Oreochromis niloticus: one gene and its partner. The protein of the gene in region 2 interacts with the protein of the main gene of each other region in a biochemical or structural test. Links are inferred from orthologs where the notes say so. Each region holds a gene or a part of one and is shown on either strand. Other genes may lie near its edges.

Region 1 (7,732 bases), on a different chromosome or scaffold from region 2:
CCACTAATCCCTAAATACTCTTTTTACATATTAGTGTAATGGTTTACATACATGCCTAACAAGTGCTGATCCTGGGAGGAGACACAAATCTCTGATGTAGTTAGAATCTAGTGTGTCTGTGTGTGTTTTAATTATAGGTATTAAAACTTTAAATAATAATAACTGTTTAAAAAAAAAAAAAAAGACAAATAGTTCAGGAACTGCTTTCATGGTTATTGTGTGTTCCCAAATTTCAACACTATTTAAGCTCAAACTGTATGTGGGTTATATGCAGTCAAACAGATGATTATCATCAAAATTCAAGGGAAAATTAAGGATAAGATCATCCTTGAAACAAAGCTGATGTTGAAAGGATCGAGTAGTGCTGATGTGGTAAAAAAAAAAAAAAAAAAAAATTTCCATTCACTGAAGACAAGACAGAGTCAGAAAATGTACAAATTTTATATTAAAAAGACATCTGAGGAGAATGATCACAAAACGAAAAATTCATTTTCACACAATGACACCAAAAATACTTCCTGATCTTTCTACTGTGGCTGTACAGCACTGGTGTACTTACACTGCTGCCTACAGCACACTCTAGTGGGGTTATGCAGGAGGTCAGTTTTATTACAAAGCCAGGAAATCTAAACTTTGCTACCATCTCAATTCTCGAGCTCAAGTAAATCACAGCTGGTTTCGGTAGTGTTTAACTCCGAGGTAATGTGAAACAATGAGCAAAGAAGTTTCGTGTGGACGAGCATGTGAGGATAATCGTTCTGCTCTGTCAGCAGCATGTGAGAGGTTTTAACTTGAGAAGATGCAGGCAGTTTATTTAGCAGTAGGAGTGTTTTAAAGTCACTGGCGGTTAAGCAGTAAATTAATGCACAGGAAGCCAATGTGGATACTAATTGTGCAAATGTTGTGTACTTCAACACCTGAAGACATTTCTTGTAATAATCCAACAGATTAACCACACTGAGTCTTTTAGCCAAATTAATTTAGGAGAAATAAAACATACTGCTGAGAGCACGCTGCTGTTGGACGGGGTAAACTACCTGGGAAATGTTTGTTTGGTGATGAAGCCACGTTATCGCTCGAACTACAGTGAAACCGTATCTGAAGTTACTTTTACATGATGTACTTTTAAAATCATGGCCCTTAACTTTTCGTTTTACCTGAACGAGTATCTCATGGAGGAATTAAAGAAGGAGAATCAAACTGGTATCGGTTAATCCTGTGATCATGGACAGTTAAATAAATACTGATGAGCATGAAAAACTCTTCTAAAGCTTGAACTTGAAAGTGACACTTATCATTATATAGCAGTTTAATTTAAGAGCAGGCCAACTTCTTTCAGCCTCACTTTGATTCAACTTCAGGAGAGTTTTTCCATCATGCGTGAATGAGTGCTTGAGGACCACCCAGCCAAATTTAGTCATATCTCCACATAAAGTCCAAATTCATTTTTACAGCTTCACAGTTTTTATCCAGAGAAGACCAATAAGAGCCTTTTTAATAACTTACAGTATCACATAAAATGAGATATTAACCCCAAAAAAGAAAAAAAAGAGTAGCAGAGTGGTCCTCACAGTCTCCATGATCACAGGAGTAATGCTTTTTGTTTTTTATTTCTTATCACAAGGATTTTTAGACAGCTTGTCCCACTGCCCTGACACAAACAGGTGATAAGTGGCAACTGAAAACACTACAGCACCCAGAAGTCTCCATTTGAGCTGATGAGAGACGGTCGCTACGACGAGAGGACATCAAAGCTCATCGTGGGTCATTTTTAGAGCGTGGTCACAGAGGTCTGCGGGACACACAGCACAGAAAACACAGTGAATTAACAGCTGAGCGCATGGGGAACATCAGAACAGAAAGAAATGTTTGCAGGTTGATGCATTTGGTCTCAACCTACCTGTCCTTTTGCTGCACAGTTTGTCTTTAACGTTGTCCGTTTCATGAGCGAAGAATTCGATGATTTCATCCTCGTGCTGTTCCACTATTGTTTCACACTGAACAACAAAGGAAAAATACACACTTAAACCACACCCTTTGTCTGTTTTTCTGTGCATTTCCTTGGGTTGTGCTGGAGGTCTAAGTGGGAAAAACTATACTCACTGCGAACTTCAAGCTGGCTGTAACCCTTGAATCCAGCGAGGCGTCTGACAGGTCCATGGCCTCGCCGCTCCGAGACTTGATCCTGACGTACGACTTCCTGTTTGTGGAGGGATCCGTGCGCTCGCCGTAGTCCCCCATCCTCTCGCATATGCTCTCCATCATCTCCAGGAGGTTTCCTTCTGAGCGTGCCAGAGGAACCTGGTGGTGTCAGAGTTCAGAAGTTATTTTTATTGCCAACCCACTGAAACTAACTGATATCTTTAAAATGAGATGATGGCCTTCAGAGGCAGGCGATGCTTTCTATAAAAGTTTGGCCCTGTTTTGTGGTCAACACTGTGTACTTATGATGTAGTCTACAGTGGGGGCTGAACCCAGACTACAACGTGGCTCTGCTACTGCAGCCTCACCTCTCTGATGGACTGACTCCCATCTGGATTGATCCTGAAAGATCCCGTCTGGATCATTTTCTTGGGGTCTATCTGGGAGATGGCCCACTCCATCTCGTCTACCAGAGCCCTGCAGGCTGAGGAGGGGAGGTGGAGTGTGGGTGCAGAAGTCAGACACCGATTAGATAAGGACTTTTCTTTGTGCGTGCGGCCGAGGCTCCGCGTCAAACCGGTTACTCACCTCCACATCTGAGGTCCTGTCCTTGTCTGGCCGCCTGGCTGGAGCTCAGGAGGAGACACGCAAGCAGGCAGTGTGTGAGCAGGAGAGCAGCTTCCCTCATTTTGCCTCTAAACGCGCACATTTCAGCATCACACAGGAAAACAAATAAGCAAAAAAAACATTCAAGTAAGTCGGCCGGAAGGCTCTCAGTCACCGTTTGCTACAAAAACCCTCTGTAGCTCAGCAGCCGGGTTACTAATACTGACACAGAGATGCACTTTATTCCACTTTTCATTCAACTTACTGTGTCTGTGGGCCGCCAGGAGAACACCTTTACGCTTTTCCACGCTGTTGCATCGTATTCGGTGAAATGTGGTGACGTAGCAACCGGGCTGCTGCCGGGGGTACGTGGAGCGGGAGACAGCTCGTGCAGCGCCCCCACGTGGGCGGGAAGATCCCAGCTGGCGCTCTACTCTGCAGCCAGGGTCATTTGTGTTGGACCAAGAGTGTCAAACATAAGGCCCGGGGCCCAAAATCGGCCCGGCAGACTCCTATCCGGCCCACTGAAGGTTTTTTGCAGTTTTTGAAGGAAGTGTTATATTTTTGACATTTAATTGTGTTTTCATAAGTTTTACAGCGTGTCCTGCTGTTAAGACTTCCATCAATGCCATACATATGATGCCAAAGTATTTAATTAATAGATAAACAATAACAATTAAAACCCAGTAAAATTCCTATTTTTTACTGGTTACAATCTGGTTGTTAAGTTCGATGTTACGGGTGACGTAGCTGACATTTCCGGGTCCAAATGCTCTTGAATAAACTAGAGATGGACCGATCCGATATTACATATCGGTATCAGTCCGATACTGACCTAAATTACTGGATCAGATATCAGAGAGAAATAAAAAATGTAATCCGATCCATTAAATATCACAAAAGCACCTCCAAAAACTTGCGACATGGCGTAACTCAGCTCATAACCTTAGCACGTCGGAACAGTATGCGTCACGTGATAAAGCGGCTGTGGCGTGCGAGACCTCTCGGCAGTCTGGTTGAGCAGTTGGAACCTCGCTACCAAACCGGCATTTCATCTCCAAGAACGTTATCCCAGAGAGAAGTAAAGCAAGTGTGTAAGTTCATCTCTGAATGTTTGTGAAGCATTCCCGCGTTAAGCTTAACAACCGATATATGGAGCGACTGCCTCTTCTCTCTCCCTCCCTCTCCTGTTGCTACTTCAATCATGAAACTGATCAATGATCAGTTGATCATGGCCCACTTTGCACCAGAAAGAGGAAACCAGCGGCTGAACAACAGCAGCGCGTTTAAGCTTGATAAGCTGTTGTTAGAATTTATTTAATATTACTTTCTACACCAGGATCTTTTTCTACGTAGCTGACGGCTGGTAACTGTGCAGGGGCGGGTCTAGCAAAGTTTTGCCAGGGGGGCGGTAGGGCATTAACAGGGAAAGGGGGGCACAAAGAAATACTTTTCTTTCTTATTCTCATTTAAAAAGTCTAGCTTAATAAAAAAATTATCTGAATCTTACACCCAGTTTTAATCTGATGTAAAATGTATAGAAGTCCATTACTGTCAATAGTAACTACTAAGTGTAATATATACCGTAGTAAGCTATAGTACTTTTTCCTTTGGGAAGGTACCATCTCTGCAGTCTGCAATTCTGTTTAATTATTGTAGAAAAATAATTGATTTCTGTGCATTTTTTTTACACATGCATTAAATTAAATTTGATTATGTCAATTAAACATCACGAGGCCGAGGGCAGGGGGTGGTTCCCTTTTTTTTTTTTTGCTGGGAGTTGGCAACCCTATTAGTAAGGTTGTTTAATATTTCTGCTAAGTACTCTTTAAAATACCAGAATAGGGAGGATGGTGTAGGTTTAAGTTTATTAGATTGATCAGTATTCTTGAACTATGAAAAATTTTGGGTGCAGTGTATTTTTTACATACAGGTATAACAGAATAGTTTTAGTGTTTTTTTGTTTGTTTTTTAAACTTGAGTATGAACTTATACAAAATGCAGCAAGATATTTAAAAAAGTGTTTCATTGATTATAAAATACACCATATCGGATTCATATCGGTATCGGCAGATATCCAAATTTATGATATCGGTATCGGACATAAAAAAGTGGTATCGTGCCATCTCTAGAATAAACAACGATGGCAGAACCAGTAACTTTGTTTACAATTACCTCCTTCTTTAGCAAGGCACCAATTAGGGTTAAAAGGGCCTTAATTCTTTCAACTCTAATAAAGTGGTCAGTGTATCTATTCTCCCAGGTGGTATTATTAGGCAGTAAAAAGAAGGCTTAGGGGTAAGCTAGCTAGCTGATGATTAAACATGATATGTTCTGTACTGGCTGATGTAGTTCATAAAACACACATGCATACAGCACTGCTATAACAGTGGAAGTAAACCAAGATGGAAATCTACAAAACAGGGAGATTTTGGAGAGTTAGTTATGTTAGCCAAGTTGAGATTATCTTCCTGCCCATTGGCTAGCTACAGTGGTACCGGTACACACAGCAGCACTGCCGGTGTTTGTTATAATGTGTGGGGTAAGCATTAATTTGCTTTCAATACGGGTGCATGTTGAGGGTCAGTCAGTGAGATTCAGCTCCAGTGAGTGTCTGATTGGCAAAGATAAGTGCCAATGTTGATTTAGGTGGAGAAGAATGTGTCTCACACTGACATGGAACGTGTGTGAAAGCAAAAGAAATTGCTGCCAAGAGTGTCTGAGATGACACCATCAACTGCACAAGGTCAGTCATTATTTAAAATTCTCTCTTTGTTCTAATTGTTTTCTTAATTTTATGTAAAGCATTGTGCTTTATATTGAGACACACACGTAGTCGTCATCAAAAAATGTCATTTAAGTGAACAGTCTTGAAGTGAATAGTCCTAAATAAATCCTGGGTATAGCATCTGACCTTGAAATTATTACTTGTTTAGATTACTACTTATTTCGATTACTAAGAAATATTTTTTGTTTTATTTTTTCAGCTGGAATGAAAAGACCTGTCACCCAGGAGGACAAAGAATGGGCACTGGCATCTCTATCAAAACATGGGCGTTTTACTGGGATGAGGTTGATTTTGAGTCCAGAAGGGCCTCGGGTAATTTGATATTTACCTTAATACATGGAATGAATTATACGTGTATGTGAACTCTTGTAAACTACAGACATCAGACTGTCTTCACTATCCCCACTTTAATTTTATATGTATTTTGTATATTCTATACTCTACTTTTTCTACTCTGTGCTCAAACATTCTTGGTCCCATTAAAACCTTTTCACATTGTATTTGTTTTTCCTTTTGCTTTAAATCTAGACTTTACCAGCCAAGACATTTGATGGATTGCTGAGGAACCTCAGTTTTGCCCAAGCAGAAGACAAGGCTTGCTATGTACTGGCATAACTGACTGTGACTGCGGAAGAGAAGAAACAGGTTGAGGAAGCAACAGTTGGGCAAACAAAGAATGTATTGTGATAAAAAAAAAAAAATTAAAAAAGGTGCCTTGAAATTAATTCTGTTAGGTGTTAAGCAAGAAGTTTGAGTGAACCGTCTCTCTTAATTTGTTTTTCTTAATAAAAGGGCAGCATATCACAAGAAGAGAATCATAGCCAGCAACTTAGGTTTGGTCCTGGGTACAGTCCAGCAGAGCTCATACCCTCCTTCCTTATTTAAGACTCTTGGCCAGTACAACCTAACAGTAAGTTGTTAGTAAAAACGGGTCTGTGCTTCTAAGAATGCATTTATAACTAAGTGATATTCTCATCCCCAAAGGCAGCTGTACACTGACTGTACTGGTGCAGTTGTTGAGGAGAGGGGACTGTTTTTATCCAACAGTGGCCTGCTTGGCAGTTCTCCAGATGAGACAGTCTCTGATGACTCCATCATTGAGGTGAAATGCCCATGGTCAGCCAGAACCAAAACTGTCTTGCAGGCTGCAGAAAGGAAGGACTTTTTCCTACAACTGGATGAGGCAAGTGATTCCCTGGTATTAAAAAAGCATCACAACTACAGAGGAACCTACATCTCACAGGGACCAACAGCTGTCACTTTATTGTTTGGACTCCATGTGACTTTGTAATCTTGCCTGTTGATAGAGAACAAACTTGGGCTGTTAACATTGAAACTTTGGAAATGTTCTTTTACCCAACAGTCTATCGCAGCTATGAATTTGTAAATATATTCAGATAAATTCTTAAAATTAAGTTTTGATTTTACCAAGAAAATGCTTTGGGCAAAAACTGTTCAGAAAACAAAGAGTAACACATTTATCTTGTAGTCCCTATTTTTAATGAAAATTATCGGCAAAACAAGTAAGCAGTAATCAGGAGGCTGGAATGAAATGAGCAATATAACAAACCATTGATGAAAAAACCCCAATTAGAGTACAATTAAACATTTTACCAATTACAACTGAAAATTCTCAACTTGAAACTATGCAACTAAGTTGTTGGTTTTTTTAATGATGTAACTTCCTGACTATATACACAAAACATTCCAGAACACTTAAAAGGTACAAACAATAAAAATAAACGTATTCAACAGTTGTACTGTCGGGTCCACAAGTATTTCGACAGTGACACCATGTAATTTTGCCTCTGCACTTTCACTGGTCTAATTCATGGATAACAGGAGTTTGTAAATTTGTAAGACACACACATACTTTCAGTATCTTATTAATATTTTTTCTGTAGTGATGTGGGACGAGATCCAAAATTGAGAAACGTTTCAGTCTTTGAATTGAATGCGCTACATGTGCTCTTGCACAGGAGATCAGCCTGTTATTGTTCACTTCCTGCTGTGTGAACTGTCCGCTGACGTGGAAAGACGGGGTGTTCAGAGAGACCCCCTCTGGGAGGATGTCCTGAATTGTGAAGTCTTTATCTGCAATGACCATGTCACCTGGTTGTAAATGTCGCAGTACTCCACATTCAGCTGTTATGGCCTTATCTGAGGCTCTTCCACCGTACAAGTTGCTTGCAAAGG
Region 2 (7,539 bases):
ATTATATCACATCTGAGCAGACGGCTGGCATGAAGGCTGAGCCGAAATTAAACACCTAACCTCACAGCGTGGTGGAGTGTGACATGTGCGAGTATTTATTAGCAGCGACCCACCTGACCTTACCTGCAATTTAAAATCTTTATCTCACTTCTTTTCACCCCCCCCCCCCAAAGTCTTGAGCAAACACCAGCCATCTGCTGATAACTCCTGCTAATCTACTGGAGGTCAGAGCGCAGGCAGCCAAGTGTCCTCCGTGCCCTTAGCCCCCCTGACTGTCCTTTCACTTTCCTCTTCAAAAGGTTGCCAAATATGGGCTACAGTGGAGTGGAATATGAAGGTGGAGGGAGAAGAGCCAGACAGAGAGGAAATGGGAGTGGGCACAGTTTAATCACCCAACAGCAGCAAATAAAGAAACCGTAGAATTGCCCTCTTTTTACATTGGATAGAGCAGGGTGAAGGGAGAAGGAAGAGAGAGTCGGAGCAGTAGGCGAACCAGGGAACAACAGGGACAGTTTAGCTTAATAAATAGTTCTAGTGGAATGCTGCAGTTCAAGTGCTTCCTTGATTCATATCCGTGGTATCAAACACTCATCACGTCGCCCAGGGTGAACATAACATCGACTCCATCACACTAGTGTTCAAAACAAGTTTTTGGGACTCGTTTCAAGGGCTGAAAATTCACTTTCCATTTATAACTTCACAGTCTGTGGGCAGGGGACTACCCATTCAGACATGCCTGGGATCGTTACTTGTTTTTTTAAACTAGTTTGGCAGAGAAGGGCACATGTTAAAACTACATGTCAACTCACTGTAGCAGCAGCTTTGCTTGCCATTGTCTAATGACCAATAAAGCACAGAAAGTGAACAACAGTTATCCAAAACTTCAGCTGCAACCGTGTTTCTAATTGACGGCATATTCTCGCAAGGGAAAGCACTCCTTACACAAGCTTTTCCCCCAAACTGCATCTGCAGAAAAAACAGAAAACGGGAGGGCTTTTGTTCACGCAAAAAACGGCCATGGACAATCGAAACAAAAAGATATTTAGAGTTGAATGGGAGCAGTGACGAGAGGTCCTGGCTGTCACACAGAGGGTCCCTGGGGGTAGGCTCAGAGCAGCACACAGCACCAGAGCTGCTGGATCATATTTCCTCCCTGGCGCTTCACCAGAATGACCTATAGTAACCCCGGAAGGGCTTGGGGAAGAGGTTACTATAGGGCATTTTCGCTTTGTTGGAAACAGTGATCAGATTATGCTCTGGGAACTCGCCAATGGTGGCTTTGTTTTGTTTCCCCAAACACGTGCGCCTCATTAAAGTCATGTACATGAAAAAAAAAATAAGATGTTATTTCTTTGACCCGTTTTAGAGGAGATGACGAACACATTTACACACTCAAAACAATAAGAGGAAGTAGTTCACAGTTATAGCTGTTCTAAGGCCTATGAGCAAATTTCCTTGCGCACGGTGTCTTTACAGCGTGCGAGCTTTCAAAGTACCTCGTCTGCTCCTGCAGAATCAGATGGGGCTCCACGAAGAACTTGACCCGCAGCCTGAGCCGACAGGGTGTCAAATTATCCATCTGCTGGCTGATGCGGTTCCTCAGATTCAGCCACAGGTTTTCTCCTTTGCTGCCTGTGAACTGCAGCCCAAAGTAGTCTACTTCGATTATGCCCAACTTTCTGCAAACCTGAAGAAAGACGAAACAAGCAGGGGGGGGGTGTCACAAAAAACACACACACGAAGTGAGACGTGAAGCTTTTCACCACAGGACAGCGACAGCTGGTGAAGAGCTCCTTTAAAGAGGCAATCAATAACTTTTCTTGTCATGTGGAAAGTGACGAGAACCAACTGAGTAAAGTCCCACTGGACTTTTTTTTTATTATTATTTTTACAAGGAAATTCACCAGTACTGCTGTTACTGCAGATACTCCGACACACAAACCCCCATCAATATTCTGAAGCTCACGAAGTGAACTTGGAGCCCCTCCCGGGGTACAGGGGCTCATCAAGCCCGCAATCCCACGCTCCTCCGGCGGCAGCAACCATGGGTTTATTACATAACTGCTGCTGAAAGTCTGCACAGGGAGCCAGGAGGCTGAGATAAAACTCGTTCTGTGCATATTAAATAGATTAACATCATAATGAGGAGGGGAAATGGCAATCAAAGGAAATAACAGTTACTACTGTGTCCATGTTGAGTTGGGGGTGGTGGTGGGTAGAGATGTGAAAAGCTAAGTTTCATCTTGAGAGGCGGCAGGATGACCTGGAGTAACCTGCACAAAGCCATCTGCCTCTGACTAAGCGAAGGAGCCTGAAGTGGCAGTCGGCAGCTTCCCAGCAACCTAACAAAACTTTTCTCTACGTGTTTCAGCCCCGTGGCTTTTTGACAGAAGTGACACTTTAGAGGGTTTGTATTATTTAAAAAAGAAAGAAAGAAAGAAAAGAAAAACACGAAAGAAGAAAAAGTTGACCTTTTTTCTGCACTTGGCGCTCAGAACATTGTTTCCTCAGTCCTTGTTTGCTACAAGCAACAAAGCAGGTGACAGTTTTGTTGTAGCTTAAAGCTGAAGCTCACTGAAGCTGTGGCGAATTAATTAATTAAAGAAATAAAAACAAATAAAATCTTCTAATCGTGCAGAAACTTGGCTCTTCGGTCTTATTCACCACATTTAGTCGACTCATAAATGAATGCGACACATTAGAGGTGAAGTTGACAGAAACATAAGAAAATATTTTTCTGACAACCCGAGCCGTGCTGCCTCACCGACGCACATACGGCGACGTGTTATTCTCACATGAAGACACAAAGAAGAATAAAACGTGCTGTCCGTCTTTACCTTGTTGAGGCAATCTTCACCGTTCGCCTTCGCATCAACTTCCACTTCCATCACCACCGAATCCGGACGAGTAACGTGGCAGAGCATTTTGGCTGTTTGTTTCTGGAAATCTTTGGTGTGCCACTCTTTAAAACAATCAACCAACTCTCGAGCCTTCGCTTAAAAAACAACAACCCCTCTACATCAAGCCGTCATCACTTTCTTAGCCCTTTCACTCCGTTTGGTGTTCGCGGCCACCAGCTGTAGGGTATATCAATGAAACGCCGCGCACAGCACCGCCTATTTGACACTCTGAGCCAATGAGAAGTGGCGTATCATCCGCACACCGCTCGGGCTCGAGCTCGCCTCCCGTGCCTTGAACTGCGAGGAGTCCACTGCGCCCTCACCTGGCTCGCCTGTTGCATGCACCTGAACTCACCTTGTCCTCGTGGCTGTGATGTTTCAGCGAGCTCGTGCGGATCTCCGGGTGAGTTTAATGGCTTGTGTACCGTCAACCCTTCGTTTCGTGTGAATAATGTATGTGGAAGCAGTCCAGAAATAACTCCCATAACTGGAGCGCATTCAGCTTCGCTGGTTTGCTGTTTTCCATCCAAAGCTTTTTGTGATTTTTTTTTAATATATATTAGCAACTTCAACTTTTCCATAACGCTGCTGCGTTTGAGTGTTGGAGAACGTGAAACTGTTTGATTATAGTGTGTCAAGGTGGGGGAAAGGTCAAGATAAAACGGCTAAGAGAGACTTAATAATTCAGCCTGCTCTACCTCATCATTTCTTCACATCTTGCTATTTCATGATATATTATTCAGCATCAGTGTGTAGTGATGCCAGATAAGACACTGCAGAAAGCTGCAGCCACACTTAAACTATGGAGGCATAGTATTCAGCCAAGCTCTGAGTTTGTCTGCCAGCGGACATTTTAGAGTAGATGCAGTGTGCCTCTCTATGTTTTTCTACTCCCTGGCCACTGCATTACTGCCTCGCTGAGTCCTAAAAACACTCACTTCATCATTCAGATATTGTATTAAAGCACTTACTTGGAAGGGATGTGAAAATAAGATTCAGCTTTACATACTGCACATTTAAAGATGTATAATGTGTTCCGTGGCCCTTTTATTTGGATCACTTTTTGAATGCCAAAAAGCACTGACACTTTTCTTCAAATGAAGTAATTTCCTGGCAGCCGTGTTTTTGTCTGTACTAGCTTCCGATTTATCACATTTAAATCTTACCTGAGGATCCAGGTTTCATTTATTTAAACCATGAAAATCCTTGCGACACGAGGAAAGTGATTTCACCCAAACTCGGGTTCCGGATAGATTTTGCCAATCTGGGTAGCACCATAAATTTTTATTCGCGCTCCAAAAACACAAACAGAGTAAACAGGTATGCGACAGTGGGAAGGAAAAACTCCCTTTTAACGAGGAGAAACCTCAGGCAGAGCCAGGCTCAGGGAATGGCAACCATCTGTTGCGACAGGGAGTGAGGAGAGGATGATGGGACAAAAGACACGCTGTGGAAGAGGGTCAGAGATTAATAGTAACTAATGATTAAATGCAGAGAGGTGTGTAAACACATAGAGAGTGAAAAGAGGTGAGTGAAGAAGAAACACTTAGTGCATCATGGGAAGACCCCTTCAGCCTAGACTTTACGCAGTAGAGAGGATTAATGGGTCACCTGATCCAGCCCTGACTATAAACTTTATCAAAAAATAAAGTTTTTTAACAGTTTAATCTTAAAAGTAGAGGGTGTGTTTCTTTCCCAAATCCAAACTGGGAGCTGGTTCCACAGAAGAGGGGCCTGAAAGCTGAAGGCTCTGGGTCCCATTCTACTTTTAAATACCCTAGGAAACACAAGTAATCCACAAGTCTGACAACAAAGTGCTCTGTTAGGATAGGTACTAAGAGGTCTTTAAGATATGACATGGCCTGATTATTCACGATTTTGGGAGAAAGATATTAAATTGAATTTTAAATTTAACAGGGATTTATCAGAAGAAGCCAATATGGAAGAAATATGTGCTCTTTTTCTAATCCCTGTCAGTACTCTAGCTGCAGGATTGTGGATCAACTGAAGTCTTTTCTGGGAGCTTTTAGAGCGATCCAATAATAATGAATCACAGTAGTCCAGACTAGAAATACTAGGTTTTTATTTTTGATCACATCAGATAAAATCAGTATGAGAAATGTTATTATTCTCATTTCAGGCATTATCAATTTCTCTTCCCTTCAACGACACATCGCTGCCTATATTCAAACGTCGACTCAACAGATTTTATCTGATGTAACATGTATGTGTGTCTTTCTGTGTGTGAGAATGTCAGCCAGCTTGGAGTAGGCAATGTCCTTTTGCCCCGAGGTGATGCAAGAAAGTGTGCAGTGAATGAGCAGAGAGACGTGACGTCTGAGCAGCCACCCGGACCATAAATGGAAAAGCAAGCATATAGCCAGTGACCTACCATTCGCTGTTAGTCTGGGACTCACTGAGCAGACTGCCAAACACATACTCTACTACTGCTACAACACACAGAGCTCCAGCAGAAGCACAGCTGCTGTTGCTGTTATTGGTTTACGCTTTCAAAAATTCTCTCTTTGTCCTACAGCACCCCAAAATAAAGTAAACACATGCACACAAACACAATTAGACGAATGAACCAATATTTATGGCAAACGCAAAAACATCTGGAGCAACTCAGTGATTTTATTCATTCTTTTATTTTTCACTTTAAGTATTTTATGCTTTATTTACCCAATTAGTTAATGTATATTTTGGTAGCCTGTGACAAAAATAGACAAACTATTTTCGACGCATGTCATCGCAACTGTAGCACAAAGAATAAAGCATAGAAAGGAAAATCATTATCACGACTACCATGTTGCACATCTAGGTCAATTTCAAGGGTAGGGCATCTATTTTTTTTTTTCCTTCCACCATCTGCGCTCTTGCACAAACACAGACCATTTGTAGACTCCTGGTTCGAGGCTAGGTATGACATCATGCAATGTGACATCACTTCCCTTTGAGGCAAGTCACATCTCACTCGACTGAAGCATGCATGCAGGGGATTTGTGCAAGAGTGTGTGTATGTGTGCATGTGGGCACATGACATCACAACGTCATCACTGCCCAGCTCCACTGGCATAGCTGTGCCTGTTGAAGCAGATATTATGTCAGAATGTGCCATGCTAGCAGAGCTGCTGCGGCTGCTGTTGTTGTTGTGATAGCTGTTACTACTTCGCTTCTTTTTCTGTCAATCTGTCGCTGTTAAGCCAAAGGAAGAGTAGTACTGGGCAGCTGGAGGAGAGGAATTGTTTACCAAAGTATGAGGAGAGGCCAGAGGGCGATCAGCTCCTCTGAGTCTGAAGAGAATCATCGGCCATGGTCGAAAGACTCAAAGGATCGGTCGTCACCGTGTGGACGCTCGTCAGAGGGAGATTCATCGTCGGAGTCTGATGTGGAGGCAGAAAGAGCAATGAAGAGGAGCCAGAGGTTCAGCAGTTCTTTCAGCTTTGGGGAGGATCAGGAGGTAGCGTCAAAAAATGAAGGTGAAGAAGAGGAACAGTCACCAAAGAACTCGAACAGAGTTTCCGTCAGAGAGGTGGTGGAGTCGGATTCTGAAGGAGAACATGCAGAAATGGAGGAAAGAAACAGTTTTTGTGACACAGATCAGCCAAGGTCAGGTTTATTCAGGCCTCAAGAATTATGGCTGGCGGTGACAAAATGTCTCTCCCTCCGGTGGCCTCCTTGTCTGTCCATCAGCAGACAAAGTAATAAGAAATTAGCCTACCAAGTGGATCTTGACCAATTGGAGGACACACAGTCATCTCTCACCTCAGAATCAACCAATGAGAGTTCTTCTAGTACATCTGCCTCAGATGGCAGAGATGTGTCTTTGGTGAAGCAAAAGGAAGACGATGTCAGAAGCAGAGGGGTTAAAGGTGGCCCTCCCACTCGTCGAGGGGTGTCTCGGTCCTCTCCCAGATTACCAAGAAACAGACAAGCTGCAGACTCTGTGCTGGCTTCGATGATGTTGGAGAAAGAAATGTTCCTGAGGATTGAGCTTGTTGATTCAGGAGAAGAGAGGGATGATTTACGCTACCGGGCAGAATGGAAGTTGTCAGAGAGAACTAAGGAACTGGCAGAGGGAGTGTGGCTCTCTCGAAGCCTAACAGCTAATAGACTGACCTCTTAAATTAGAGGTTTGGTTGTCTTTGATGTGGTGGACTTCATACCATGCACCATGTAGGTTAATTATATTCAAATCTTAGTTAGTGTGACTGCTGATTAGAAATGGCCCAGATTTCAGTGAATAATCAGTGAGATTGTTTTTGCATGAAGACTGTGTAAACCGCCGCCTGCTGATATAAACTGTGCTGATTCAAATGCAGTCACTGTGGCTAACTAATTAGAAATGCTATTTTCAGAAACGCAGCGCTGCACAGTTAGTGTCAGTGTTTATTTTTTGCCTTTCTGGGTGTCTGAGAAAATATTATACACATGGCTGGTTCCATGCATGGGAGGAAAGGGAGATTTAATCCAATATATCATGTGTTTATGAATAAAAGCCTTTTTTTGCAACCTGGAGTTTGTTTTTATGAGTAGTGAGAAAACAGTAAAACCACAGACTGTCATACCATGCTTAAATTTGAAAATAAATACATAAAATAAATGAAAAGTTTAGATTCAAAAAGTGAAATTATTGTGT

Evidence for each region.
Region 1: the proteins of mylipa (region 2) and cnpy2 form a complex in vitro, tested with the Homo sapiens proteins (2 studies listed by BioGRID). The link is inferred for Oreochromis niloticus from reciprocal best matches to the Homo sapiens genes MYLIP and CNPY2.

What each region holds. Positions count from the first base shown.
Region 1 is NC_031970.2:24,734,027-24,741,758, reverse strand, and holds cnpy2 (protein canopy homolog 2), read right to left. Parts: upstream 3,008-7,732; 5' UTR 2,852-3,007; coding exon 2,731-2,851; intron 2,627-2,730; coding exon 2,511-2,626; intron 2,302-2,510; coding exon 2,104-2,301; intron 1,998-2,103; coding exon 1,901-1,997; intron 1,793-1,900; coding exon 1,749-1,792; 3' UTR 423-1,748; downstream 1-422. Other genes in the region: uncharacterized protein LOC100690178, read right to left, coding at 7,353-7,732. UniProt on the Homo sapiens protein: Positive regulator of neurite outgrowth by stabilizing myosin regulatory light chain (MRLC). It prevents MIR-mediated MRLC ubiquitination and its subsequent proteasomal degradation.
Region 2 is NC_031985.2:20,357,720-20,365,258, reverse strand, and holds the start of mylipa (E3 ubiquitin-protein ligase MYLIP-A), read right to left. Parts: upstream 3,078-7,539; 5' UTR 2,925-3,077; coding exon 2,838-2,924; intron 1,688-2,837; coding exon 1,497-1,687; intron 1-1,496. Other genes in the region: dtnbp1b (dystrobrevin binding protein 1b), read left to right, coding at 3,240-3,303, 6,104-7,026. UniProt on the Homo sapiens protein: E3 ubiquitin-protein ligase that mediates ubiquitination and subsequent proteasomal degradation of myosin regulatory light chain (MRLC), LDLR, VLDLR and LRP8. Activity depends on E2 enzymes of the UBE2D family.